7 linked regions of the Rattus norvegicus genome follow. The protein of the gene in region 6 interacts with the protein of the main gene of each other region in a pairwise test. Links are inferred from orthologs where the notes say so. Each region holds a gene or a part of one and is shown on either strand. Other genes may lie near its edges.

The links.
Region 1: the proteins of Otx1 (region 6) and Rgs17 interact in binary tests that used the Homo sapiens proteins (3 or more experiments, as listed by UniProt). The two-hybrid records come from large-scale screens. The link is inferred for Rattus norvegicus from reciprocal best matches to the Homo sapiens genes OTX1 and RGS17.
Region 2: the proteins of Otx1 (region 6) and Rgs20 interact in binary tests that used the Homo sapiens proteins (3 or more experiments, as listed by UniProt). The two-hybrid records come from large-scale screens. The link is inferred for Rattus norvegicus from reciprocal best matches to the Homo sapiens genes OTX1 and RGS20.
Region 3: the proteins of Otx1 (region 6) and Vwc2l interact in binary tests that used the Homo sapiens proteins (3 or more experiments, as listed by UniProt). The two-hybrid records come from large-scale screens. The link is inferred for Rattus norvegicus from reciprocal best matches to the Homo sapiens genes OTX1 and VWC2L.
Region 4: the proteins of Otx1 (region 6) and Spry1 interact in binary tests that used the Homo sapiens proteins (3 or more experiments, as listed by UniProt). The two-hybrid records come from large-scale screens. The link is inferred for Rattus norvegicus from reciprocal best matches to the Homo sapiens genes OTX1 and SPRY1.
Region 5: the proteins of Otx1 (region 6) and Comp interact in binary tests that used the Homo sapiens proteins (3 or more experiments, as listed by UniProt). The two-hybrid records come from large-scale screens. The link is inferred for Rattus norvegicus from reciprocal best matches to the Homo sapiens genes OTX1 and COMP.
Region 7: the proteins of Otx1 (region 6) and Tns2 interact in binary tests that used the Homo sapiens proteins (3 or more experiments, as listed by UniProt). The two-hybrid records come from large-scale screens. The link is inferred for Rattus norvegicus from reciprocal best matches to the Homo sapiens genes OTX1 and TNS2.

Annotation. Positions count from the first base shown.
Region 1 is NC_086019.1:44,649,946-44,653,445, forward strand, and holds part of Rgs17 (regulator of G-protein signaling 17), read right to left. Parts: intron 2,329-3,500; coding exon 2,239-2,328; intron 241-2,238; coding exon 6-240; intron 1-5. UniProt on the Homo sapiens protein: Regulates G protein-coupled receptor signaling cascades, including signaling via muscarinic acetylcholine receptor CHRM2 and dopamine receptor DRD2.
Region 2 is NC_086023.1:19,280,842-19,285,048, reverse strand, and holds the start of Rgs20 (regulator of G-protein signaling 20), read right to left. Parts: upstream 2,801-4,207; 5' UTR 2,693-2,800; coding exon 2,525-2,692; intron 1-2,524. UniProt on the Homo sapiens protein: Inhibits signal transduction by increasing the GTPase activity of G protein alpha subunits thereby driving them into their inactive GDP-bound form.
Region 3 is NC_086027.1:79,705,954-79,709,453, forward strand, and holds part of Vwc2l (von Willebrand factor C domain-containing protein 2-like isoform 1 precursor), read left to right. Parts: coding exon 1-293; intron 294-3,500.
Region 4 is NC_086020.1:122,484,144-122,488,258, reverse strand, and holds the start of Spry1 (protein sprouty homolog 1), read right to left. Parts: upstream 2,801-4,115; 5' UTR 2,760-2,800; intron 2,346-2,759; 5' UTR 2,057-2,345; intron 309-2,056; coding exon of another isoform or gene 254-308; coding exon 1-253. UniProt on the Homo sapiens protein: Inhibits fibroblast growth factor (FGF)-induced retinal lens fiber differentiation, probably by inhibiting FGF-mediated phosphorylation of ERK1/2. Inhibits TGFB-induced epithelial-to-mesenchymal transition in lens epithelial cells.
Region 5 is NC_086034.1:19,086,749-19,090,795, forward strand, and holds the start of Comp (cartilage oligomeric matrix protein precursor), read right to left. Parts: upstream 2,801-4,047; 5' UTR 2,795-2,800; coding exon 2,719-2,794; intron 2,505-2,718; coding exon 2,419-2,504; intron 2,000-2,418; coding exon 1,948-1,999; intron 1,588-1,947; coding exon 1,418-1,587; exon of another isoform or gene 888-1,417; coding exon of another isoform or gene 816-887; intron 674-815; coding exon 536-673; intron 368-535; coding exon 293-367; intron 217-292; coding exon 58-216; intron 1-57. UniProt on the Homo sapiens protein: Plays a role in the structural integrity of cartilage via its interaction with other extracellular matrix proteins such as the collagens and fibronectin.
Region 6 is NC_086032.1:100,287,622-100,291,686, forward strand, and holds the start of Otx1 (homeobox protein OTX1), read right to left. Parts: upstream 2,801-4,065; 5' UTR 2,658-2,800; intron 2,349-2,657; coding exon of another isoform or gene 2,029-2,348; intron 1,982-2,028; coding exon of another isoform or gene 1,894-1,981; intron 1,566-1,893; exon of another isoform or gene 1,283-1,565; intron 649-1,282; 5' UTR 540-648; coding exon 443-539; intron 1-442. Other genes in the region: collagen alpha-1(III) chain-like, read left to right, coding at 1,894-1,981, 2,029-2,348, 3,206-3,440, 3,621-3,855, 4,032-4,065. UniProt on the Homo sapiens protein: Probably plays a role in the development of the brain and the sense organs. Can bind to the BCD target sequence (BTS): 5'-TCTAATCCC-3'.
Region 7 is NC_086025.1:135,111,170-135,115,358, reverse strand, and holds the start of Tns2 (tensin-2), read right to left. Parts: upstream 2,801-4,189; 5' UTR 2,599-2,800; coding exon 2,524-2,598; intron 1,098-2,523; coding exon 989-1,097; intron 564-988; coding exon 526-563; intron 1-525. UniProt on the Homo sapiens protein: Tyrosine-protein phosphatase which regulates cell motility, proliferation and muscle-response to insulin. Phosphatase activity is mediated by binding to phosphatidylinositol-3,4,5-triphosphate (PtdIns(3,4,5)P3) via the SH2 domain.

The sequences.
Region 1 (3,500 bases), on a different chromosome or scaffold from region 6:
CTTACCTCTTTCGGTGACAGTATAGAAATGTAATCCTCGTATATCATCCTGGCCTTTTCTTCAACAGCTTTCTTGTTCTGCTCCTTCTTTAAGTCTTCACAGGCCAGCCAGAAGAGTAGGTTCTCCTCGCTGTATTCTGTTCGGAGGAACTCTCGGAAAAGGTTTCTTCCTGCAGGAGCCTTCATCATCTTGTCAAAATTCTGAGACCAGGACAAGACTTCATCTGCAGTGGGGTTTTGGCTGCAGAGACAGAATGAAGCCATTAGGAACAACATTGACCCGTCTGCTGGCAGAAGCAGCTGATGGTTTCAAATTTGTAGTCTTGTGCTGCCCTCTACTGGTCAGGATTTTGCCATTCCGCCTGGCTTGATTTGAGCCTTGACAAATTGATCCAGTGGGTGCGAGAAGCAAGGAAGGGAGCTGAGGGTTAGAACTGTAAGGGGGTGCATCCCACATGCCCATGGCTGTCAGACACTCCTAATGAATTCTGCAAGTGGTGATGTGTCTTAGCAATTTCTTGTAAATGGATGGGAACACTGTGAACCCCCTTTTTTTCTCCCTCATTTGCATTGTCCAACCATAAGAGGGTTTTTCATCTCCAGTAGCCATTCCTAAAACAAGGATATACTTTGTTCATTGAGCACAAAACACCCCCCAATGCTCAAAGTATTCCTTGAAAGGTAGAGGACTTTTGGAACAGCAAGAAGGATTTTTCTGGACAACATATAATAAAGATCACTACTCTATTGCCAAGATCACCAGTCACCAGTCCATTTGTCCTCACACCAAAGGAGGAGAGGCACAGGTCTTGGAGATTTTTATTTTCTAACAGAAATCTTTAACAGAATCTTGGCTTTTGTCTCAAATATATATTAGGTTAGGAGGGGCACTATGTTTTAATTTTCTTAATTTTTTGACCAAGGATTTTAAATAGATTTGTCGCTGTCCCATGATGTCTAAACCTCTTTATTCATTTATGATATTAGGTTTGGGGTTGGGGAGACAGTTCAGTGGGTAAAGTGCTTTCTAAGCATGAGAACCCGAGTTCGAATTCCCAGCACCCATGTAAAAAGCCAGGTAAGATGATGTGCCCCAGTGTTTGGGGGAAAGAGGAGAGAGAGGCAGACGCTGGGGACTCACAAACCAGTAGGGTTAGCAAAAACCTTGAGCTCCAGGTTCAACGAGAGACCCTGCTTTAAAAATTGGTAGAGAGTGATAGAGATGGACACTTAGTGTTTCCCTCTAAGATCCACAATACACACATGGGAGAGCATGACCACACGTATATCCATACACACATCCATCTGATGCACACACGCACACACACACACACACACACACACACACACACACTTTCTCTCAATAAAATTAAATGTCCAAATGTTTAACATCACAATGAGACTCATATTCAAATATTAAAATTTCAATAAAAAGCAAAAAAGGAGGCATTTATAGATTTATAGTGATGTGAGCCACCAACTCACAATTAAATTTTATCTTCTAAAAATTGCTTTTCAACTTCTCATTTTAGAAAGACTTTGATGAAGTATGTTCAGATGGTTACAAAACCAGGATCTGGTGAGCTGGGTATTTTTAGTGGTTGATTTTGGTCATCCAGAGAGTGTATACCTGTGCATGTGTACTTGTACGTGTGTGTTTGTGTGTGTGTGTGTGTGTGTGTGTGTGTGTGTGTGTGTATGTGCGGTGTTCAGATCCTTCTCTTATAAAATGAAGATGAATTTTAAAAATATTTCCCGTGGGGATGGAAGAATAGCTCAGCAGTTAAGAGCACACAGACTGCTCTTCCAGAGGACCCAGGTACAATGCTCAGTACCCAAATGGCTGTGAACAACTACTGTGTAACTCCAGTTCCAGGGTATTCAAGTCCCACTCAGGCTTCCCTGTCAACTGAGCATGAACATGGTACACAGACCTGTATACCGGCTAAAAAGATCAATGAGTAAGAAGTACTTTCAGCCAACAAGAGTAAAATTAAGGCTTGTCTGTGATAATTCATGCAATTGTCTTTACTAACAGAGAAAGATCATCTGAGACAATGTGCCAGCTTGGAGACCCAGTGAGAAATCATTGCAATCACAGAAGAGACCTTTCAGGCTGAGTCTCTTTTCATTTCACAGAACCATTTGTGAGAGGACCACAGAGAGATGGTGCTCGGGAACTGGGTGGACGTACGTGGCTTTTAAACACAGAACTGACTCTCCCTGCCCCAACACTCACCATTCCTCTAGGACCTGGATGCTCTCCATTTTGGTGGTGTGTGGGGGTCTCCCCGAAGAGTCTCCTCTTTCTTCATTCCTGACAGTGAGGCTGTAATGTAACACACTTTGTCAAGGCAATTGCAAAAGCCAAAGAAAAGCATCTCTTTCGCAGGAGAACCATGTCTCATGGGGTTTTCACTGCCGACCTTGTGGGATTATTCAAAAGACACACAGAGAGGAATAACACTTTTAAATGGTGGTGGAGTGTGAAAGTTGGTAAGTCTATACTAACTTTTAAATAAATCATAAAATAAATCAGAATCTTCACACAGATATTACTATCCACTCTGACTCCATGATATGTAACCTAATTATTTAAATTCTTTTTCATAGTTGTACCTTTATGGTTTCAAGACTGGATATGCTTTGATATTTGACATATTATTGTGTTACCTTTAAGAAAGTCAAGAGCCATTTTGAATTTTGCTGTATTCTGTTCAGTTTTTTTCATTTACTTTCTCCTTATTAATAGCTAAGAAGGTAGAATACACCAGAAGTCAATGCAGACTTCTGCACCAGCCTTCCCCTTAAGCCAAGCCATATTTTTGTCATGAATCTCTTTCCTCCATCTTGAGAGATTGAGCAGCTGCACTGGATTCTATGTCAGTCAATCTCCAGTGTCTTGGCAGAGACGAGGAAGAAATTCTGAGGGTGCGGAGCAGGAGGCCATTGGGTAAGCGTGATGGTTGCTTCCCACTGTCACCTATACAGGATCTAGAACCATCTGGGACAGGGGACTCTGGCCAAGGGTATAGAGGGGAGGGAGGAATATCTTTATTATGACAATTGATGTGGGGAAACTAATTTGATTATGGGTGGGGTTGTTCTTCAGCCATAGGTGCTGGACAATGTAAAAATGTTTGCATTCACCCTCCCCTCTCTTACTATGGTTGTGATTCGATAGTTTCATCAAAGTCCTGCTAACTTGACTTCCTGACCATAACAGACTGTATTTTGAACTGTGAGCAAAAACAAGCCCTTTCTCCCTCAAGTCGCATTTGTCAGAATATTCCATCCCAGCAACAGGAATGAAGGCAGTAAGAGACGGCACTGTGACACAGAGTAAGACGCCAGGAGCTGGGAAAGCCCTGTGTGCTCCACTAACCCAGGAGAGTGGATTGGCATGAAGTACCCTTCAGCTTAATGGTGCCTTGGGGCAGAAACTAGGGTCCTAGAGATAATGACATCGGTGGAAGAGATCTTAAGTTAGGCTAGAACTTC
Region 2 (4,207 bases), on a different chromosome or scaffold from region 6:
CTGGTACAACCATTCTGGAAATCAGTCTGGAGGTTCCTCAGAAAATTGGACATTGAACTGCCTGAGGATCCAGGTATAACTCTCTTGGGCATATACCCAAAAGATGCCTCAACATATAAAAGAGACACGTGCTCCACTATGTTCATCGCAGCCTTATTTATAATAGCCAGAAACTGGAAAGAACCCAGATGCCCTTCAACAGAGGAATGGATACAGAAAATGTGGTACATCTACACAATGGAATATTACTCAGCTATCAAAAACAACGAGTTTATGAGATTCGTAGGCAAATGGTTGGAACTGGAAAATATGATCCTGAGTGAGCTAACCCAACCACAGAAAGACATACATGGTATGCACTCATTGATAAGTGGCTATTAGCCCAAATGCTTGAATTACCCTAGATCCCTAGAACAAACGAAACTCAAGACGGATGATCAAAATGTGAATGCTTCACTCCTTCTTTAAATGAGGAAAAAGAATACCCTTGGCAGGGAAGGGAGAGGCAAAGATTAAAACAGAGACTGAAGGGACACCCATTCAGAGCCTGCCCCACATGTGGCCCATACATATACAGCTACCCAATTAGACAAGATGGATGAAGCAAAGAAGTGCAGACTGACAGGAGCCGGATGTAGATTGCTCCTGAGAGACACAGCCAGAATACAGCAAATACAGAGGCGAATGCCAGCAGCAAACCACTGAACTGAGAATAGGTCCCCCGTTGAAGGAATCAGAGAAAGAACTGGAAGAGCTTGAAGGGGCTCGAGACCCCATATGTACAACAATGTCAAGCAACCAGAGCTTCCAGGGACTAAGCCACTACCTAAAGACTATACATGGACTGACCCTGGACTCTGACCCCATAGGTAGCAATGAATATCCTAGTAAGAGCACCAGTGGAAGGGGAAGCCCTGGGTCCTGCTAAGACTGAACCCCCAGTGAACTAGACTACGGGGGAAGGCGGCAATGGGGGGAGGGTTGGGAGGGGAACACCCATAAGGAAGGGGAGGGGGGAGGGGGATGTTTGCCCGGAAACCGGGAAAGGGAATAACACTCGAAATGTATATAAGAAATACTCAAGTTAATAAAAAAAAAAGAATAATGTCCAATTTTTAGCTTGTAGAAATCTCTTTTGATTATTATTCGCTTTTAGATATTTGCTAATAAAGATCTCCTAGTAGGTGGGTTATTAAAGAGAAAAAGACACAAAACTGGAGCTGGGTGTGGATCTGGGAGGAGTTAAGGGAGGCACTGATAATTAAAATATTCAAAATGCATAAGGATCTCCTAATCATGACATCTTTCCTTTTAATTTCAATTTGGTGACTTAATGCTTAACTGGTTGCGGCACACATTTTTAACTACAGTACCTGGGAGACTAAGACAGTAGGATTTTGAGTTTGAGGCCAGTTTTAGCGACACAACGAAACTCTTATCTGAGAACTTCGAGAATGAGCTGCTGATCAGATAAAGTCCTGTACTTAGTTGGCGACAATAATTGGAGTGTCAGATTCACGATGTACTCACATATATCAGAAAATTAAAGTTATTTCCACAGAAAAAAAGACTCACAATAAACTTATTTTTCATTTTCTTTTAACCCTTCCTCTGCTCATACCGATTAGTTGAAATACCACCACAGGGCAGGTCTAGAGAATTAAGTGCAGAGTTCCATATAATGATCATTTTCAGGATGTAGGCCACGGCTCAGGAACAACTGTGACTTCCAGCGCTGACTCACTTGGACAGGTTTTCTGTGGTCTGCTTTTGCATCATTTAGTTCTGAACTCTGATAATTATTTTTTTAACATGGACACGAGCCCATTCCTCTCCATACTGTAACCTTTTATTAACAGTTGTGCTTTATTAATAGTTAAGAGAATTTGCCATCTCACACTGTACATTCTGCCAAGAAACATACAACCCCGGATAGGAGAAATGATCAATGTCAGAAACTCACACTTGGGAAGCTCACTTTAGGAAGCTACACATTTAACATCTTTAATGTTCATGTTCCTATAGAAGCTTCTCATTATTTTGTAATAATATTTTTAGAAAGAAGTCTAATTTTCTTTCACAATTTCTATCAGAGAAAAACATTCAAGAACTAGTAGCAACAGCTAAAGAAGCTAAATTTCCTGCTTAAGAAAAAAAAAAGTATCACCTAAAAAACAAACAGCCAAAACTCTGTGGACGTAGCTCAGTGATTGAGCGCCCGCTCAGTGTGCCTGAGGCCAAGGCTTCAGTCTCAAGCACAAAAGCATAGCAAATAAACGAACAACCACAAAAAACAAAAACACAGCAACAACAAAAAAAGCAATGGTGAAAGAGAGCTGTTTAGGGTGGAGAAAACTGGACACCAGGTAGTTTTCAAATTTTTAGGTTTTCTGTAAATTATTCCAAAAGTATTCTTGATAAATCACCCATAGTCTACTGCGATAAAACTGGCTACTGGCATTATATTCTTCAGGGGTTAACCTTTACCCGGCCAAAGACAGTGGGGATTGTGAGATCATCTTACCTTGACACCAGTCACAGCCTGAGAGACCCCTTTATTTTCTGGGTCTTGGGGAATACTGGAATTGGAATCTTTCTCTGCTCTGATCAGGGGCAGCAACTGTGCCTGCTCAGCCTGCCCGGAAAGATGCTCCTCCAGGTAGCCTTGGTTTCCTTGGGGAAGGCTGGGCATGTTTTCCTAACAAATGCCCTACCGGAGTCTTGTCATCCGGTTTTACCAACATCCAGGTATCGTCTCTGTTCTTTGGCTGGCTAATGCTGGCCCATGTCTGAGTCTGCTGGGACCTTCTTGCAATGTTATTCTAAGCAAAGTAAAAGGCTGATCCCTTCTCTGGATCAGTAGTGGCTTATCTACCTATTTTAGCATTCCGTTCCAGATAGAGCTGCCCACTGAGTGTGTATGCCAAGACTGCCCTCTGTAGGTGAGTAAGAAAGTTTCTTCTTTATAAGTCACTGCTGTAATGCTCAGTGTCTCGAGTTAGAACAAGCTGCCCCTATGACAAATGGATGCGTTGTGAAAACCATCTGAGGGGACCTTTGAGGCAGCCCCCATCTGTTCATAGTACTGTTCTGATTTTCCCCATGCCTTTGTGCCTTTATGAAAGCAAAGCCCCCCAGAGTTCCGTGGAAGCAATGCTGCTGCTCTTCCGTGGCGTGTCAGCCGCTATTCCGTGCTTTGTCGGTATAGGGAGGGAACTGCTTGGTGGCTTTGTCCACAGGGAGGAAAGCACTAAAGGTTTAGACTAGGAAGCAGCTAAGCTCGAATGGCTGACTGTGGATATTGCTGGAGAACGGCAGGCAACGAATTGACTGTACCTGCCTGTGTCCAAAGAACCTGGCTGAATAGCAGTCAGTCCTGAACAATAATTAGCTCTTCACTCCTGGCCATGTTACAGTATCAGCCACGTGTAGGATGAGTCTTCCCGTTTCAGTTAGCCCAATTTAGAATGTCTCTCTCTCAGACATGCCAAGGGGTTCATCTACATGATTCTAAATGGTGTCAGAGAGAGGATGTTACCATCGTACAGCTTTCGTGTACTATCCTTGCCCGCAACTCTGAGCCACTCAGTCCTTTCCTCGCAAACTGCGTGTTCTTCATGTCCTGCTCTTCTCGCTTTCCGCTGCTGTAGACTTAAAGGCGCGCGGCGAACAGTAACTCAGATTTTGCTTAAACAGACAATATTATATATACATGCTTTTTATGTGATAGTCATATAACAGGCAAGGCTTGAATTCAAACTGAGTTATGAAAGAAACTTCACGTGGGTGGCGCACAGGAACATTTGGAAATATAAGAACATCTCTTTCAATCTCACCCTCTTTCATATTCAACCCACAGGCCATAACTGCTAAGTTATTAATGGAAGTTGTAGGAAGAAAGGATTTCCATATTTGGTTTTTCAGGTGTTGGCTTCAAATCTCCATCCTCTCCTCAGATAGTTTTGACATCTTATGATTGAAGGGACCCTTGTACTGTGGGTGCTCCCCTCAGCACCCTAGGTTAGGCACAGACCATACACAAACACCAATTTCGAAGCATAAAAACAAATGCAAAGAGATCCTTTATAAAGCATGGCTAAGAGCAGCTGAATCCAAGTCACATAGAAACAGCAGCAAATAACTACAGGTTTTGATTATAACAGGGAAAGGGGGAGGTCTGTGTTAGACTGAGCTAGGACATGTTGGT
Region 3 (3,500 bases), on a different chromosome or scaffold from region 6:
AAGGTGACCAGGCTTCCAGTAATGACAATCTGATCTTTGATGACTATCGAGGGAAAGGGTGTGTGGATGACAGCGGCTTTGTTTACAAGTTGGGAGAACGGTTTTTCCCAGGGCATTCCAACTGTCCGTGTGTCTGTGCCCTAGATGGACCTGTCTGTGACCAGCCGGAATGCCCTAAAATTCATCCGAAATGTACAAAAGTGGAACACAATGGATGCTGTCCTGAATGTAAAGAAGTGAAAAACTTTTGTGAATATCATGGGAAAAATTACAAAATCTTGGAGGAATTTAAGGTATGAGTTACCCTCCATATCTATTGAATTCTAATTTTTACTATAACATGCTTAGCAGATTATATTAAAAGAAAACCTAGAAAACATAAAATTCTACAACTCTGTAGAGTCAGTGTTTGACAGGAAGTCCTGTTAATTCATTGGTCAATACTCCACAGTAATGTTTTTTTTTTCAGAAGTGTTTAATATCTTCTCATTTTTAATGCTGAAAACCGTTCTTTCTGTGTTTTTACAAAATATGTTTTTAGAGAGTGCTGGTTTGGAGGATGCATCTATTAAATTAATTTTCATATTGTTAGTTTTCTGGCTTATGAGTCTGTATTTTGAGCCATCTACCAATGGTCTTGACATATTTGTTTGCTGTGTAGACATGTGTATGCTACAGAAAAGCACTCAGAGCTGTGATCTCTATATCAAGAAAGTGCACTGGGCCTACTTGTTATAGAGCAGGGTTCAGCTCTGCTCGCCGGATGTTTTATTCACAGGACTTCAAAGAGAACTGAATTTTTGTCATGGCCTTCAAAAAGAGAAAAGTCAACCTTTCAATTACATGACACTTAGTTTTCCTTTCATCCTTCATGTCTCATTTTAAAACAACATGGAGTTTGCTTTTATTTCTTCTGGAGTTCTCTTTTATCTGATGGCCTATTTTAATTAGAATGTCCTACAAGCCATATGAGTCCTAAGAGCACGAATTAATCTACCAAGAATATCTTAGTTAATTGTAGTGACAGTTTGTGTCTTGAAGTATCTTTCATGCTGAAAGCTTAATATGAAAGGGTCTTATTATATCAAAGTTCTGTGACATAGGGTTTATAGCATTACAGGTTTAAAAAAAAAGTTACAGCTGGTCCTAAGTGTGCTTGTTTAAATTTGAAAAAGAATGTTCAGGTTTTCAACCTGAACTAACTACTCTTTCTACATACTAAGCTGGTGGTAGAAGTGAGCATGTGGCAGGAAGGCTTGAAGTGTCATCGTTAGGGAGTGTGGTGTGTGGTTGTTTGATTATATTCATTCCATTCTGGGCCATGAGTTCAAGCTTGTTCTGGTTTACACGGGAATGCCCAGCCTTTTGTACTACGTTCTATTGCCTATAAGGAAAAGGGGCTTAAATGACTAAATCAACTTTGTTAGATATAAGTTTTATTCTAGAGATTTTTCTTTTGTATATTGTAAAATTGTGTTGTGTAGTTATTAAGTAAAAGTCAAACTACCCTGACACCAAATGGCAGTTAAGAGCATGCTATCTTATAGTGACTAATGACAATATGGTCTCTAAAATATTGTGTATACTTTGGCATAAGCTCTATTCACTTCTGGGTAGTGAGAGTAACTAAAATATTCAACACATTATAGTTTGTAGAGCCATGAACAAAATCTGTGGCCATCCCTATCTAATGTGCACATATATATTGAGTAGAAATTTTCTGGAAAGAACATTTAACTCAAACCAAGATCACATGAGATAGTTTTTGACAGATAAAATTTGGCAATCAGCATTTAATATATAAAACAATAGGTGGTCTGATTTATGAATTTTTTAACTTACCCTTAAAATGCTATAGTTTTCCCCCTCTATATACTAGATTTACTTAAACAAAAATATAACTTTGAGACCTAGGGAGATTCTTCAGTGGTTAGCAGCACTAGCTGCTCTTCCAGAGGACCTGGGTTTGTTTCCCAGCACCTACATGGCAGGTCACCATCTGTATCTCCAATCTCAGAGTATCCAATGGATACCCTCTTCTGGCCTCTTCAGGTACCAAGCATATATGCGGTACACTGACATACATGCAGGTCAGCACGCATGTACTTAGTAATAAATACAAACGTTAAAAGGTATCAGTGTTACCATCTCAGACAACACAATACATATGAACAAGACATTAATTATTCTTGTGCTTCTAGTTATAGCCCCAAACATAGCATAATTCTTCATGTAACATCCCTGAATAGCAAAGCACTTGTACCTATTTCTGCCAAAGGATTATTAAGAATATATATTTTAACTCTGCTTTATCTTGTGATAAACACATGGCCACAGAAATTTGTAGATATTATCTAAGACAAATTTGTTAGAAGGTAGAACTAAGACCAAGGAAGTTTGTTACCTCCCCCCCAAAGTCATCCATTTGTTTAACCTTTTCTTTATACTGCTTTCTTGCAATTAAATCTATTCAATGTCCCAAAAGACTTTTATGTCAAGGTCAGAAACAGCTGGATTTGAAGCCCAAATTCTTCAGTGAGATGTAAGTTCTGACCCACAATAGTAAGACTATAAAGTAGCCATTGTAATAAGTAGTTCCCTTGTAAAGAGATGCTTAAAAAATATTTAATGAAATCACTAGGCCTAGGACAATGGGAATGTTTGAGTTGAATAAAGAGTTCTTCTCCATTACAAATACATAGGTATTTATTATCAAATACATAGGTATTTACTCCAGGTTCTAAATTTTTCTGAGTCTTTCCTTATATTTTATAATTAAAATTCAACTTTAAATCATTTCTCAGATGGAGGAATTAAATACTTTCCATTAATGTTGTAGGTCTCCATATGAACTGAACATCTAAGCAAACACTAGCCAAATCCTGTCATCCTTACTTGTTCCCAACTTCCTCACCTGGAACAAGTAACCAATATTTAAAGATGCATAAAACGTACTTATAATGCTGTTGGTACGTCATTGAGGATGTTATAATGTGAAATATCCTTTACAATAACATATTCATCCAAAGAGCATTTGCCGTACCATTTGCTATTCATGATACTATGGAATCACCTGTTTTGAGCAATAAGGATCCTAGAAGTTAATGTGCTAACAGAAAGGGCATGATTAATGTCCAACTCAAATGAAAAGAAAAGCAGTAAAAAAATTGAGCTTAGAGACGAAGTGTGCTGGCATAGACACTTGCAATCTAAGCATTTTCGAATAGAAGGCAGGAGGATCATGGATTCACAAGGCCAGCCTCAGCCACACAGCAAGACCCTAACCTACAAAATAGAAATGGCATTTCATTTATGAATATAGTGACAGTATCTGTTCAAGATTCATGGTGTGAAATGCTTATCAACATATCACAAGGCTTGCCAAAACAAACAAACAAACAAACACAACAAACAACAAACAAACAAAACAAAACAAATATTTCTTCAAGTTGGTCAATGTTGGAGCTGTCTTTAGAATGATCAAAGTTGATACGGGGAGA
Region 4 (4,115 bases), on a different chromosome or scaffold from region 6:
CATTGGCTGGTATGATTTCATGAGTCCTTTCCTGCTTTTCGGGTCTTGGTGCAGTTCGAGGAGCCGGTCTTCTCGCTACCGAAGGTCCCTCTGTGTATTCATTGCTGCCTCTGATGGCTTTGATCTGGTCTAGGGACAGAATCGTGGCAGGCTGGGTGTCCCTGTCATAGTCTAACCTCTGCCGGCCTTCCACAGCCGGTGGCTGAATCACCACTAGTGAAGTGTGGCTGTCATGCTGACTTGGGGAATCCATGTGGAGTGATCTCCAATTCCAGCAGTCAGCGGAAATCTGCCATGCATCTGAAATCCTAAAGAAGAGTGAAAGAGAAAATAAGCGGCAGAAAGCGGTTTTTTTGGGGGGGGAGGGGGAAAGGGCTTCTGTCAAGAAACAAATTTCCCAAGCCACATGGTAAAGATCTCCTTCGTCGGCTGATTCCAATGATGCAGAATCCTGGCCAGAGTCCAACTCCCAGAAAAGATTGTAGAGGACCGTATCACAGGAAGAAAGCAAAGACCTCATGCCTTAAAAATTAGAAGTTGCTCTCCAGCTTCTGAAAAGCAGAGGAAGTCATGTCTTCCTGTTTGCAAACCTAACAAATAATTAAGATGAAATATGCCTTCGAAGGCAGCACTCAGTGTGCGCTCTGGAACTGTTCTCAGAGTTCACGATCAGTTCACTGGCAGTTCACGTAGGGAAAATGTCAGCTACTTTTTAGAAGATTAAGAATGGTTTTAGTGCTGTGGCCTCTTGGCCGTTTATATGCTGTTACGAGCTTCAGATTAATGAGAAAATTAATCAAGGCCAATTTCCAAAACACTGGCTGCTCCAAGCTCACTCGGAATCTCCAAAGGTCACTTTCAGCAGAAGTCAGGGTCTGAGGCTAGCTCACCACACACATCTGTGAGATGGGCAAAAGAAGCTACAAAGAACGAGGAATGCTCTGGCACACGTACGCAACCCTTACGGTGTGGCGTTAAAGGCTCACCCGCCACACAACAAGGGTAAGTTATGCACAGTGTCAGCCCTTTAAAGCGGGGAGAGGAACCCTGGTCTTTTTTACAATATATGTATTTCCTTTCATTTACCTGCATGACAGGCCTTGATTTTCATAAGCCCTGAACAGACCGGCTTTTTGTAGTAAAATAAATACTGATACACTGATACAACAAACACGTTTCCATGTCAAGAAGAAATAACTCCCTACTTATAACGTATTCTTCCTAAAAAAAGACCAAATTCTTTCCGTTTCTGGGCGATAGGTTTCTGGAATATTTTTCACACAAATGCCTTCCGAACTTACAGATAGATTGATGCACCTTAATTCAAGAAGGAACCCTCTGCACTTTCCTGGTATCCAAAGGAAAACAAAAACAAAACAAAAAGTCTTAAGGAATAAGTCACTTTACTAACAAATGCCCCTAGACTACAAATGTGTTAGCTTTTTGGAGGCCCCTCTAGCTTATAACTACCTTCTCTGCACACGAGAAACACATCCATAGCAAGTTTTAGTGCCGAACTCCTAAACGATACCGGAAACCTGCCCATCGTTCTGTGCCTTATCTATTTTTTAAAAATTTAAAACTCCATAACGAAGACTTTAAATGTGCCAAGCCTCATCCACAAGAAAGGAAGACGTGGGAACGGCTTGTTTGAGCTATGAAACCCCTAGGCACAGCTTTCATTCGCATTTTTACAGGGCATTCCCAAGCAAGTTCGCTCAGGCGGAGCACTTAGGCGCCCCGCAACCGCCCAGAGCTAAGCCGGAGCGCGCGCGCGGACAGCACTGTGGGTAGCACCGCCCGGCGCTTGGGCCCCAAGCCGAGACCTCAGGGGCACCCAGCCGCGGCAGGTCCGGCGGGGGAAAGTTATGAATGAAAACAGCTCGCGGGCGGGAGGAGGCAGCGCCCTCTCCCCGCGTCCCGCGGCACTGCGCTCCGAGCACAGGCGGGCGCTGGATCCCCAGCGCCATCGGGTGCCGCGCGCTTGGCACGGGCTGCGCGAAGACCGCCAGGACCGCCCGGCCCGCCCCGGCCCGCACCTGCCGCCCGCACTCACCTCGGCCTCCACGGCGCCGGCCGGGGGCGCGGAGCGGGCGAAGCGCGCGCCGCATCAAGCGCGGCGGGGCGGCCGGGCGCGCATGGCCCGCGCTGCGGCCTCAGCGGCCCCCGGGCAGGGGCGCTTCTCCGCGGTTGGCGGCGGCCGAGGGCGGCTCGGGGACATCCGCCGGGTGCGCGCGGCGCCCGCTCCACAGCACCGTCCCGTCCCGGTCGTCAGGCGCGCGGCCCGGCGTCGTCCCGGGCTCTCGGGTTCCCGCAGGTCCGCGTCCCCGCAGTCGCCACGCCGGCTGCAGACGAGCAGAGACAGAAACACGTGAGTCCCTCGCCAGCCCGGGACGCTGTCCTGCTCGCCGTGGTAGACAGCCACGAGCTCCGGACACACGCGGCCGTGCACGTTTTGCCCCCACGGAACGCCCCGCAGTCAAAAGCGCGTCCCAACGACGCGTCTGCGAGAGGCAAGCCCGCACGCAGGGACGGGGAAAGTCAGGTCTGGCACGAGCGCCCGGCGGGTCGGTCGCCAACAATGCGCACAGACACGCGGGTGCGCGGCGGTGCCAGCCCGCGTTCGCACACACGGAACTCGCTGCCCGGCTACGGAACTCGCTTCAGGGCCGACCGTAGAGCGCCGGGCACAGAGCTAGAGCCAGCTCAGAAAACGTCCAGTTCCAAGAAAATAAAATAAAATAAAGCACCATTCTCACCTGATCTCGCCAGGTCCTCGGCGGGAGGGGAAGGCTCTTACCTAGTGCAGAGCCTGGGGCCGGCCTTCCCGGCACATGCACGCCGCCCACAGCAGCTCCTCAGCCCGCAGAGCTCTGGCTGCGGGGCCGCCGCAAACCCCTGCGTGCTGAGCACTCGCGCGCGGGCTCCGCAGCATTTCAGCGTCGCCGCCACCTCCACCTCCACGCCGGGACCCGCCCCCGGTGATATCATGTGTCAATCACGCGGGCTGCGCGAAAACCCGGAGCAGGATTTTAGCGATCGTGGATGTGGACTCGAGGACGCTCTTAAAAAGTTGATTGCCTGCAGAAATCCTGCAAGCGCAACAGGGGAGTACCCGGTGTTTCAGGGGCCCTGTCAGTCTTGAGCTGTCAGCCTCCGATTTAAGGGGACTGGTGGATTCACCCTTAGAATTGAGTTAAAAAGAGTTGTGAAGAACATTTAAAAAGCAAAAACAAGCAAACAGCAACAACAACGGAAAAAACGTGTACACCATGCCACCGTGCCCCCAGACAGAGGGAAAATGTGTGAAGTACAGATCATGCGAAATATGAAAGTTCCAGAAAGGACAGTCACTTCTGCAAATGCAATATAATTACACACTGAAGAGTGGAAATTCCTGCTGTGGGGTTTTAGTGATTGCTTCATTTAGTTTGTGATTTGATCCCTAAAATTACATGGGGGAGGGGGAACCCAATTCCTTCCTGTTTTGTAATGTTTGTATAATTTTGTCAAAAACACCAATACATTTTTAATCTAGTAAAATAAGCATAACTCATCAGGAAGTTTTAACTTTTGTCACATGTCTGTCACGGGGTGGGGGACTTTAGTAAGCCAGGGAATGCTTTTCGCTTCTTTACAAACTAAGGAATTTGGACATGTATTCTGGGGACGATATAGCTCAGGATGCAGTGAAAAGGAATGTATGTGAAATTAAAAGTTCCACGAAGCTTATCTTAAAGATAACCTAAGGCCTCAAAAATTGTTAGTGGAAAATAATTTTCCAGGGAATTTTTATCAGGAACAGTATTTGATCAACAACAGAACTCCATGATCTAAATCACCTGTGAACGGGAGTTTGGATAGTTTGGGTTCAAAGTAATTTTTTAAAGTCTTAACAATTGCAGTGGATTTTGATAAACATTTTTATGACCATTGGCATACTGCATTTCCAAGCTTTTGAATGTTTTTTAGTGTTCACAATTATGCGTGGGATTACATGCAAGGAACCCAGGCACTCCCTACACAGAACAGCAGCCGCAAGAAAGTGCACTAGAAGGCAACAAAATGTAGTAAAAGCCAAGAAGCTGCCTGTTCACCCTTCATGGAAGGGGATG
Region 5 (4,047 bases), on a different chromosome or scaffold from region 6:
GTCCAGGCACGCCGGAGCCCCGGGACCCTCTTCCACGCCCTATGCTCCTGCACTCACCACGCAGGACCTTGAGCCGTCGCGCTCCAAAATACAGTCTGCTTTCTCATGGCACGGGCTGGGTGACCCGTCGGGGCAGAAGTGTTGCCCACGCCGCTGGCAGCCTGACCTCTGGTCGCCCACGAAGCCGGGCTGGCAGGGACCGCACTGGAAGGAGCCCTGTGCGCAGGCGCGAGCCGTCAGCGGGCCACCCACTCACGCCTTGATGGGGTCAACCTCACGGTCCCTTCCTTACCCGGGTGTTGACGCACACGGAGTTGGGAACGCAATTGTGCTGCCCGGTCTCACACTCATTAATATCTGTGCAAACCTGGGGGACGGAGACCACAGGCAGACAAAACACGTTTCACACGGGTCACGCCTCTTTGTAACCTGCGCCCGCCCCCCCTCCAAGAACTTTCTCACTAGAACGAGTTTTCTGGACAAAATGCCTTTCATTCCCTCCTGCCGTAAATGTAGGGTCCCTTGCTTCCCTTACTTGTTTGTTGGTCTTGGCGAAGGTCAGCCCCACACCCTCGTGGGTGGGCCCGCTGAACCCAGGGGGACAGGCTTCGCAGTGAAAGCCAGGGCTGGTATTGATGCACCGCACGCGCGGGAAACAGGGGTGAGCGTTGCACTGTGAGAAAGGAGCACACAGGATTAGGAGCCCAAAGCTGGACAGAGAGAACCCGGACCTTGGGGCTTCCTGGATGTGGCAAGGGGTTTGTTTTGTTGGAGGCAGGATCTCACTGCATAGCTCTCCCTGCTCTGGAACACACCATGTATACCAGGCTGGCCTCGAACTCAAAGGGATTGGCAAGCCTCTGCATTTCAGGGCGCTTAAGAGCCATCAGCCAGCTCTTGAAGTACGGTGCCACACGGGATAAAGAACCCGAGGGTCGCTGACGACTTTGCCTTCATGGGCATGGAGTTGTGACCTCTTAGGGATGAGAAAATGAACTTGGGGGGCGGGCATCCCCAGCCGAGGGAGGAAGTGGCCGCCTGGACCTGCAAGCACGGCAGCGATCACCCCGTCGAGGGCGACTCTCCAAAGCAGACACGTGGTCCGGGCGAGCAAGCCCCAGTGGTGAGGGGAAGGGCTGGAGAGAGCCACCCCCGGCGTCCAAAGGGTCGTTGGAGTGGGCGTCGATATGGGCAAAAGGCGTGGTCAGAGCGTGCGTCTGATATAGTGATGGAGTTGAGCTGGGTGGGGCCCCCCTGCTAGACGTGAGGTCTTCTGGGTTGGAGTCCCGGGCTGCGAGGGGCTGCTCCAGGAGAATACCCTCAGTGGATGAGGGGGACGTCGTCTGGATGGAGGGAATTTGTGGTGGGGTCGGCCCGGGTAGGAACAGGACGGCGGGGGTGTGGGGAGCCCGCGCACCTCATTAACGTCGGTGCAGTGCGAGCCGTTGCCGGTGTAGCCCGGAGGGCAGGGGCCGCAGCGCGCGCCGGTAGCTGTCTCCGTGCAGACTACGCCAGGGAAGCAGGAGCCGGGTGCGCAGAGCGGCACTGGCCGCACGCTCAGACCGGGGGTGCGTGCGGGCTGCATTCCTGCAGAGCCACAGAAGTTAGGGCACGCCCAGGATAGGAGCCATCCTGGGCTCCGCCCGGAGGAGGTGCCTGTCCGGCCCCGCCCACAAGATGAGCTTCTCCCGCCCAGGGTGGGGCCGTTCGGGACCACGCCCCCAAGGGGCTCGAATTAGCCCACGCTGGGACTGGGTATGTTCGCGCGTGCGCCCTGCGGCTGTGCGAGCCTCCAGCCTTGTAGCTGATCTCCGCGCATCTCCCCGCGTCCAGTCCGCTGGGTCGCCGTCCACTTTCGCCCCCGCCAGCCTCCTTTCCCAGCCCTTTTCCTCCTTTCCACTCTGTGCCCCCACCCTTCCTCCGCCCCTGGGTCCGGGCTGTGCTCACCGCAAGCGTCACATTCCATCACCGTATTCTTCAGGAAGGTGATCTCCTTGACCTGCCCGGCAAGAAGTCAGCGGGACCCTTTCCCAAGCCCCTCTCCTCGGTCCCCCTCCTCTTTCCACGACCCCCTTCCTCGGAAGCCCGGTGCCCATAACCACCTCCTTTAAATCTGCCTTTGTACAAGCGCGTTCCGGAGCCCCTGTCTCCCTGTCTCTGACCAGGTTCATCCAGTCCGGCATCCTGTCCCTAGCCGTTTCCATCCGCTCTGTCTCGCGCCCTGTCAGCTCAGCTCTTGCGCTGTTTTCCTCTGTCCTTTTCTGTCCCTTCTGTTCCCTTCTCGTCACCGCGATGTTCCCCTGCACCTGTTCTGACCCGGCGCTGTCTCCCTCTCTGTTCTCTACTGTCCTCAGCCCCCTCTGTGTGCCCTGTCCCTGTTCTGTCTCATCGCTGCTGTCTGCCTCTCTGTTTCCTTACCTGCTGTCGCAAGAGCTCTCTCACGTCTTGCAGCGCCGCATTAGTCTCCTGGAGTTCTCGAAGCATCTGTGGGGCTAGGTCTCCACCTGCGTCCACAGGGGCCAGTGATGGGCGACCCAACCACTCCATCACCCCTCCCGCCTCCTCTAGGGCCATCCAAGCTCCACCCGCCGATTCATTTTTCAGGAACCCCGGACATTCCTGGAGAGCGGACCCCAAGCTCCGAGGAGCAGGAATCATGAGCCTTGAGGGAACTGAGGGGCCTTCTGTCCACCCATGCCCCTCACTAAGCGGCTTTACCCAGCGGGATCTGGCCCTGGCCGGTAGCCCGCAAGGCAGCCAGGGCGAGCACTAGAACGCAGGCAGTGGGGCTCATGTCGACGGAGCTGCAGCTGCTGTCTGAGCCCTCAAGCCCGCGGCCTATTTATCCCCGCGCTGGGTCCGGGACAGCCCCCGCGGCCCTGCCCAGAGCCCGCCGCAAGGTAAACAGGCCAGGCTCTGCATTCAGGGCCGCGCCCCATGGCCCTGCGGGATGACCCGCGGCTGATCAGTACCTGGTGGGGTCTGAGGAGAGAAAGAGTCATGAGCCTTGGAGAGTCAAGTGGGGTTCTCCAACACTCTGGTTCACCATTGAGTGCCTGCTGTATGCAATACAATCTCCGTCCGCCCCCTCAGATAACATTGGGGAAACAAAGTCACAAGTAATCAAAAGGTCTCCCACTCTGGCCCCCACACCCCCTTCTGCAAAAGGGGTCTATGGGTGTGGCTCAGTCCGGGTCAGCAGGAGGTTGTGAGGGATGAGGGTGTTAAGCCTTGAATTCCTCCGCACCCCCACCCCCACCTCCAAACAAACAATCCTCAGTAAATGATGTCTGTGCCTCAATTTCCCCTTTTGCACAGTTGAGTAAACAGTAGCGGTGCTGGGGATGGGTGGAGGAGGGAACCTCAGCTTCCCTGGGTTCTCTTCTCACTGGGCTGCGCTGAACTTGGCTTCTCAGCCACTGGGGAGACAGCCTGTCATAAAAAGAACTGAAAATTTTCCTTTCCCGAGCCAGCCCCACTCTGAGCTGTAAAACACCTCAGCCTCCAGGAGTTTTAACCCTCTCCACCTGGCCTTTCAGGACTCACAGCTTACAGTCTGTAGAGAGAGAAGCTGGGGCTCGGGGGAGGGGGACTGGCCCACTTGGGGCCACTGCAACCCAGGAAGATCCCTTGTTCCAAGAAGAAATCATGGAGGGCTGCCTGGAGGAGACAGATAGTACAAGAAACAAAGAGAATAAAGGCCTTAGATCAGTCATGGAAAGCAGTGAGGTGGCTCCAGTTGGGGGGCGGGGTGCGTGTTGGAGGGTGTGTGTGTAGATGTCTGGTACACCCATGTTTTACACAAACAAATGTGCCTGTTGTGGGTCACATCCCCTGCTAGGTAGCTAGCTGCTGGGGGACAGACACTGGAAGGAAGCAGTTACCAGGCTCTGTCAAACGCAGCCGAGGTGGGTGTGGAAATGGCTACACTAGGACCCAGAGGCAGCAGGGCTATAGTGGAAACTGCTCAATTGTCCTCAGTAGGAAAGAGGCTGGGCTGCAGGATAGACCTCAGGTGTGCTGTCAAGATCTTGGGGCTAGCAGAAA
Region 6 (4,065 bases):
CTCTTTAACTAGGGAGAAAGAACTGCTTCTCAGGGAAACTAGACCTAAGGAAAATTTGGCTGTTGGGGCCTAGCGAAAGCCCAGATTCCGCATGAAATATTGGAACGAGGGAAGGAATTTTTTGTAAAAAAAAAAAAATTAGAAAAAGCAACCGAGGGAAATAAATTGAGGGAGGGGTGCGGGGAGAACATGCCCTCCTTAGCAAGCGGACACAAGAGGACCCAGGTCGCAGACTCCACAGAGCAAAAGTTGTAGGCTGCAGTTTCTAAGCTCTCTGAGCAGACCTTGGCTCCAGATCTGCCTGTAACAGATCTAGGCAACAGGCAGCGTGCTAATCACCCTCCTGGGTCTGTCGGGGGACAGCGTGGGCTCAAACTTTAGGGGATGGAACCCCCAATATTTCCAGAGGCTTGGGGGGTAGGGACAGAGGGCCACTGCTCACCAGGGTAGCCCACGGAAGGGTGCAGGAGGTCCATGGCAGGGCCAGCTAGGCCCAGCCCGTTCATGCCGTATGGGGGTTGTTTGAGGTAAGACATCATGCTAACAGCCGGGTGGAGGCGCCCCGACGGATCCAGGGGGCCTGAGGCCAGGAGCAGTTCAGGGCTCCCACTGCGACGTCCTTCAAGCTGTTGCTTCTTGGGGCCTGGCCTAGGGAGACAGGAGACACATGGAAACCTTCACCCGTAGTCAGTTTGGCTTTCAGCTCCTATAATCCTTGAATGGGGAGGGGGCGCATGCTAGGAACTGCACAGCAGGCAACCCGAGAGAAATGTCTCCTCCTTTAGCTCGGCAGCCACACAGCTTCTCAAGAAAGTAAACTTTCCCCGCTTCGTTCCTTCCTCTTTTAGGGCTTGACAAGGGCCAAAGACACTCCTCGAGTGTCAACAGGAAGGAAAGTTAAAGCGTGATCAGGCTGAGGAGGTGAGAGCCGAGACCGCGAAGGGTGCAAAATCCCAAGTGTAGTCAAATTTTTTTAGTGCGGCGGAAGCAATTTGCTCAAGCAAATGTTCATTTGGCGCCGAGAGGGCAGGCCGCACAGAGAGATACGGGGTTATTTCGTTTAGTTTGAAATGTTTTTTTTTTTTTTTTTGAAAGAGGGACAAAATGGCAAAGCAATACAGAGGCCCAAGGTGGGTACACCTCGGATCCCCGAGGCTCACTGGCCATGTCATTTCTTCAAAGATCTTCAGGGCTGCCTCCTACCCAGAGCCTGCAATCACCTTTCTAGCTGACCTCTCTGGGTCCCTGACGCCAAGAGAGATGAACATGAATCCCACCGCACCTCCAGGGCAGATGCGGCCCAGGCCAGGATAAGGCGGCAACAAGACTCCAAAGGAGCCACGGTAGAAGTGGCAGTTTCAGGACGCCGCTCAAGGTCAGGGGTACCTCCAAGACGGTCACCCCTCTTCCTTTGCTGGCGCAGGCCGGGCCTTCCTTCTACCAAGTCTGCTGAGCACACCGCGTCCCACCGGGGTTTGATAAAAGATGATCAACCCAGTGCCCCAAACATGCTAGGGATTTCGGAAGGCCGAGCGTTGCAGGTCGCCTCTCTCCCGCCGTCCTCTCTGAACCCGATGGAGAGCAAGGAACTAGGCCTCAGGTTGTAAAACTCACTCACAGCCAACCTGGGAGCGCGAGGCTCGGCGCAGACACTGCGAGCCCACACAGCTCTCCCCCAGCAAAAAAAAGGGGGGGTGGTGGCTTCTGGGGGTTACGACTGGGACCGCCGTGGGGAGGGGGGCTCGTAGCTACTTCCCGCTCTGCCAGGACCCAAGGGTGGGAGATTCTGGGGAGAAAGGAAGGTAGGACTAAAGCAGCTCCCCCTTCACAACTCCTTCCCCCACGCTTCAGTCCTAGGGGACCCGAAGCCTGGACTGAGGGGGCCCAGTGAGCATGGGAGGCGAAGGGAAGGGAAGGACCCGAGGCGCTTGGGCGGAAGGGCCACAGGCCCGCAGCCGCCGCGGCTCTGTCCGGCTGCGGCGTGAGTTTTCGAGTACTTTCGTCTAACTTAGCACCCCGGCTCCGCAGCTTCGGAGGAGGCGGGGGAGGGGGCGGCCGGCTCCCGCGCGGCTTGGGGTCCCTCGGGCTGCCTAGGGGCGCCTGGTCTCTCACCCCAGCCCCGCCCACCTGCAGGGGACCGCGGTAGCGAGGGTGGATTCCAGGAGGGGGAGGCGAGAGGGGCCACCATCGTCCCGGGTGGCGCGCGGCCCCGCGACTCCCTCCTTACCTGCCCTCGGCTGCCGCGGCTCTTCACCATCTACCTCGCGCCCTCACCGAGACCCGCGGGCAGCCAACCTGCAAAACGGAGGCGCACAGGTGTTACCCCGGCGGCGGGGCTAGGACCCCAGGTTTTCCTCTTCCCCAACTTCCCTCTTCCCGTCTCCTGCATTTTTTTTTCCCAGTAGCTCTGTGCGTGTCCCTCCGGGTTTCACTTTATTGCACAAACACTTTGTTTGCAAAGTCCCACATGCTTTTCCTCCCAAGACCCGGCCTCGCCCGGGACCCGGGGGGTGGGGTGGGTGGGTGGGGGTGTTCGAGGGACAGAGTTAGGAGGTGGCTTGAGGTGGCAGCTGCACTCTCGGTGCAACCCGGAGGCGGTAGGGATTGGAGAAATCCTGCATAGTCACTTGGCAAACTAAATAAATCAAGCAATTTACCTTGTCGGAGTGGCTTGTCTTGCTCGGTTGTTTAGGTGATTGGAAATGTAGCCTGATGAAGATTGATCACCTTTCTACTGCCCTCCCCGAGTATGTGAACGCGAGGCGAGTGCGTAACGGGGCCCGGCCGCCAATAGGGGGCCTAGAGCGGACTGAGTGACAGGAAGCCGGGCAATGGCAGCGCGAGCCGGGGTTACCTCCGCGCGCCCCCGCCCTCCCTCGCTCCCACCCCCTCCCTCCCCGCGCGCCGGCCCCGCCCCGGTCGCGCGCTAACTCCGGAGCTCGGGTGGCAAATTCCGCTCAGAAGGAGTCGAGGAGGGTGAAGGCAGCGCTGGAGTCGCAGGCGCAGAGGGGGCCCCGGGTCCCAAGGCTCGCCCGAGGGCCCCCACCCTCCCCTCGCCCGGGCCGCGCTCCGGAGGAGTGGCGTCAAGCTGCTGGATAACCGGTTCCTGCTCGCGCGCGCGCGCCGCCGGGCTCTGCCGCCGCTCTGTGGGCGCCAGGCTTCCCGGGCCGCGGATTCGGGGCGTGCTGGCCCCTGGCACTCCTAGCTGCGCCCTGGGCCCCAGTGCTTCCTCCGTTCCCCACAACCTGCGGCCACCGCGGGCGGCTCGTGCGGGCTCGGGCTGCTGAGCCGGAGCCTGGGATGGGGTGCAGCTCTCGGCGCTCAGGGCGCCCCGGGGCGCCCTGGGACTCTGGCGCCCAGAAAGAGCGCCGGCTGGGGAGACGCCGCCACTTCCCAGCTGCTCAGCGTCTCCAGGGGCTCTCAGGCAGTCCCCACCAAAGGTGTTCGCACGTCCTAAAAGCTTGCTTCTTCGGAACCGTTGGAACTCAGATCTTACACACACACACACACACACACACACACACACACACACACACACACACACACACACACACACACACACACACACACTGAATGGGTTTGATAGAAAACTTTCTTTTTCACACTCTCCACTCTCTCAGTCTCTCCAGGTCTGCACCTACAAAGGACAGTCCGGTGGGAAATGTGGCCACACACTCCGATCCCCCTCACTTCATTTTCTACACATTCCTGGAGGAGCCTCCTCGAAATAATTTCCCCGGATTGTTCGTACTGGCGGACCCCAGGTTCCAGCCGAATAAACTTGCCGAGATCGTCTACCTGTGTGTACTTTCCAAAGCGAGAGGAAAGAATATTTTCGGCCCAACCCCGAACAAGGCAATTCTTTCTTTCTTTCTTTCTTTCTTTCTTTCTTTCTTTCTTTCTTTCTTTCTTTCTTTCTTTCTTTCTTTTTTTTTTTTTAAAGCATGGCATCTCCTACTGACTACTAGGGACCACATTCACACCCTTTCCTAGTCCTTTCTCCTCATCTTCTGCCACTTTCACCCCAACAGGCGGGTGAAAAGTTTGAACCACAGTGTGTGCGTG
Region 7 (4,189 bases), on a different chromosome or scaffold from region 6:
CTTGAGGCCCTGGGACTATCCCCTGCACTGATGGAGGACCAGGAACGTTCCTCAGAGATGGGGGGCTGCCTCAGGGTCTCAGTGGACAGTGGGTACCACCTACAGGGTATACCCAAACAGGCTCAGCCATCACCACCCAGGATAAGACCAACTCAGGCATCCTGAGGACCCTTCCTCAGAGGGAAGGCACGGCCCATCCGGGTGCCTGGTCTCTGAAATCCTGCTCCCTCTCTATCCACCCCGCCCTTCCTCCCCCACAACTCACCCCCCCCCCCATCCTCTCGCCAGCTGCAGCCCGGGCACAGCACCAAGACAAACGCTGTCTCACTGTCCACCCTCCTGGGCCAACCCTCCAGGGGTGGAGTAGGGTGGTTCTTAAAGAGCCCAACACAACACCTCTGCCACCCAGGAAGGGGTCTCCAGGAGTGACAGGGGACTGGGTGGAAGACGATGCCAGTGTGGCTGAAGAAACCTGTTTGGGCAGGGAAAGACACCGTCCCCCATTAGCTAGGACTGGATACCCACCTTTGCTTCACATTTTCTGTGTGTGGCCACCTTGCAGACTAGAGAAAGGAAGGGGAGGATAGAGGTTAGCAGAGGCTATGGGAACAGTCAAAGTAGCTGTCCTCTAGTCCTCCAGGCCTTGGAAGCCAACCCTGGGACCCTAGTACACTGGGTCACTGGAGTCGAAGAACAGAGCTGGTTATCAGCAGGGAAGAGGGCCAGAGGTTGGCGTCTAAGATGAATAGAGGTGAGGAGGAAGAAGAGGAACAGGAGGAGGAGGAAGAGGAAGAGGAGGAGGAAGGGAAGCCCCTAGTCACAAAAGGATGGGAAGGTGGTCACAAATCTCCTGGGCGGTGGCAAGGTGGGTGTCAAGGGGACTGAGGGCATTTGTTTCTGAATTTGCCGGTCTCTAGAGCTAGAGTCACACAGCACAGAAGTGCTTACTGGAGGGCTCAACACCATAAGAACAGCAAGAGCCCCTCACCTCGGCACGAGACACCGGTCCCATCGATGGTCACCTTACACACTGCACACACTGGAGCCTTCTTCCGGAAAACCTTCTCCCGGAAGCTGTGCGGTTCTGCTTTCCTAGGCTGCGAGAGGGATGACAGACAAATAGGGTTATGAGTTCCTAGTGGGCCCATCTCCAAGGCTGGGCAGGGACCTTTCCTTAGAGCGACTGCATCCCTCTCTTCCAGCCAAAAGTCTCTGAACTCTAAGGCACACTTGGCCACAGCTGTTCCAGGGTAGTCATGAGGCCTGTCCTCTACAGGGCTTGGAATGTGACCCCTTGCGTCACCTTGGTTGGGTTAACTCCTCCCTGAGGGTTTACTCAGGCCTCCTCACGTGGAGGAGCTATGTGATGTCCTTGTCACCCCCACTTCAAATGCGAGGGCTTTCTGAGAATCTCGCTGAGTGAGGGGGTCTGACTCTCCTCTCCTCTTGCCCTCCCCACATGAGGCTCATATTCTGTGAGCTGACAGGCCGGCCCAGACACACAAGCGCTGTCCCATAACACCCAGACTGACTGCAGCCAGTCCTGAGCCCCTGACTCTCAAGGGCTCTAAGCTCCCGGCAGCTGATTCGGCCCCCTCCCCCACAGTCAGAACAACATGTTTACTCCTTGTGCATGGAGATGGCAGGCTGCAATTGTCTAAGACTCGGGTGGCAATGCTGGAAGGAAGAATGGCGGCAGGGACAGATGTGCAGCAGCTGTCTCACTGCCTCTGCATGTTATGACAGGGGCGGCCAGGTTCTCTGGATGCCCGAGCCACCCCCCACCCCCCGCCCCAGGTAGTGAGGTCAGTGACTGGCTGGGATGCCACAGGTTGTCCAGGTCCCCCTCAGTCCTCACTCACTAAAAGTTCTCTCTGCTACTCTGACCCCTCCCACCCCAATTCATCTCTCCTGTCCTCCAGTGTCTGTGGACAATCTCCCTCATGCCACAGAGGGGGGGGGGCCGCTTCTGCACAGGTCTTCATCCCTGTGTTCAAGCTCCTGCTGTTCCCTCCTCTCCCTGGATCTGCCCACCACAGTGTGGAGAGGAAAAGAACGGGGAAGGGGGGTTAGACAAGGTTGGACAACAACATGGGAGCAGCTTTGGTCCGGTAACTGTCCTAGAACTCCTCTGGACTGGAGGTGAGACCCACCAGGACACTTGGACACACTTGTGGATGATGTCATGTGCAGATTACATCAGTAGAAGGCAAACTCCCTGCCTTTCATTGCTTTCTTCCCCTACCTTTCCCGGGAGGTCAGGGCTTCAGCTCTTAGCTGAACCCTCGGGGCCTATTCAGGCTCAAGCCAGTAAACACTTAGAAGAAGCAAGACAGATGGTATATCACACTGCTACCCTAGCCACATGGGGAGCCAGGGGAAAGAGGAGGGGGTGCTGAGGCAGGGGAAGGGGTGGGAGAAGAGGCTGAAACTAGGAAGAGGGTCTGGCCTGAATCCTGGCCCTCCTGCCTTGTCCGAACTTCCACCCTGTCCCACCTTTGCCCAGCTGGTGGGCATTCCTACCCTGCTGGTGGCCCGGCTGCTGTCCCTCCTCCCCAGGGCTCTGAGCAACCTTTCCACAGGGCCGCTGGACTTCATGGTGTCTGGCTGGCTGGGCTCTTGGTTGCTGGGCCTGAACAATGCTGGGGCCTGGCCCGGGGCTTCCTGGAAGCAGCCTGGCCGAGGCAGCCGCTTCCCTTGGGTGGAGGGGAGGCTGTCTGGCTGGTGTGTGGAGAAGCCTGGCCCTGGAAGTGGAGGGAAGTGCAGGCGGGAAGGGGGCAGGTCGCTGCTCCAGGAAGTGGGGTGGGGGAGGATGTGGGGGAGGCCAGGAGATCAGATTCCCAGGATCTACCCTGCTGGGAGTGTCAGCCTAAGATCTTTGGCTCTCCCGAGCTCTGGTGCTGCCTCCCACCCAGTGGGCCACCGCATGCAGGGGTCTGTGGTCCTGAGATCCAGCCCTGGAATCAGCCAGTGGCGCAGGGTGGGAATTCAGGTCTCAGGGCAGGGCTCAAGGGCCAGTGGAGAACACTGTGTCCCCAGCCAGTCTCTAGCCTGAACCCTCATGGTCCCTTGGGACTTCCTGTGGGAAGGGAGTGTTGCTGGGAACCAGTACCCCTGATAGCCCAGCACTCCATATCCTCAGGGTGAAAGAAACTTAGGGATGAAGGTTAACTTCCCTGTCAGACAGAAAAGGATCTTGGAGTACTCTCCTCTACGCCAAGTTCCAGCCAGGAGGGCTAACCGCTTGCAGGAGTGGTCCACTTGCTGTAACCCAGAGCATTGGAGGCTCCTCCTGAAGACCTCAGCAGCTACTCCCCCCCCAGATACAACCCACAGTTCCAGGCTCAGTTCCCAGACCCTGCACCTGAGGCTCTACCGGGGACCCCACCCACCCATCGAAAGCTGAGCACTACCTTCATGGCTCTTCTGGCGGGTCTCTCCTTCCTCTGTGGCTGTCACTGGACCCAAGGACTGGACAGGAGGCCCCCTCCCAACACATACTCCACCCCCCTCTAGGGCCTCCTGCTTCCCTCCTGGGAATAGGGCCAACTTCCTGTCCCAGGAGTCAAGGGAAGGAGGTGGATGATGGGGCCTTGGAAAGGATGGAACAACCTTCCTAAAACAAGGGTCAACGGCCTGGGGGTTCTCAGCCCAAGCCCTTGACAGCAGCCTTTGGAATGCCGTAGCTGTCACTTGAAAGAATGTCACCCTCATGTGCATGGTATTTACTGAATGTCTCCGTGGTAACTCCTCTGGCTCTGGCTTCTCTTGCAGGGTTCCACAGGAGTCTCCCCCTCTGCCTCATGCCCACCTGACATGAAGGGCGGGTCTAATCCTCCCATGGACACTAAAGAAAACCTGTTAGACTGAAAAGTCCGATGCCTCTTCTTGCATGCTCCAATTCTCTAGGAAGCCTGTCACCACCGTACCCTGGCTAGAATGTAGCATGAGTGGCAAGGGGTGGGGCCCTGTCCTGTAACTGGAGAGGGCCCCTGGCTCTGCAGTCCCCACCTGAGTTCTGGCTGTGTCCCAGGACATTCCAGGCTGATGGCCAGGTGGGCGACTGGCTGTCCTGATTCAGCACCCAGCCCTGCTGGGGGAGATGGGTCACTGCAGTGCCTTCCCCGATCCATTTTTTCCCTTCTGCTCCTATGGTACACAGGCCTACTTCTGCAGCCTCTGGTGGGAC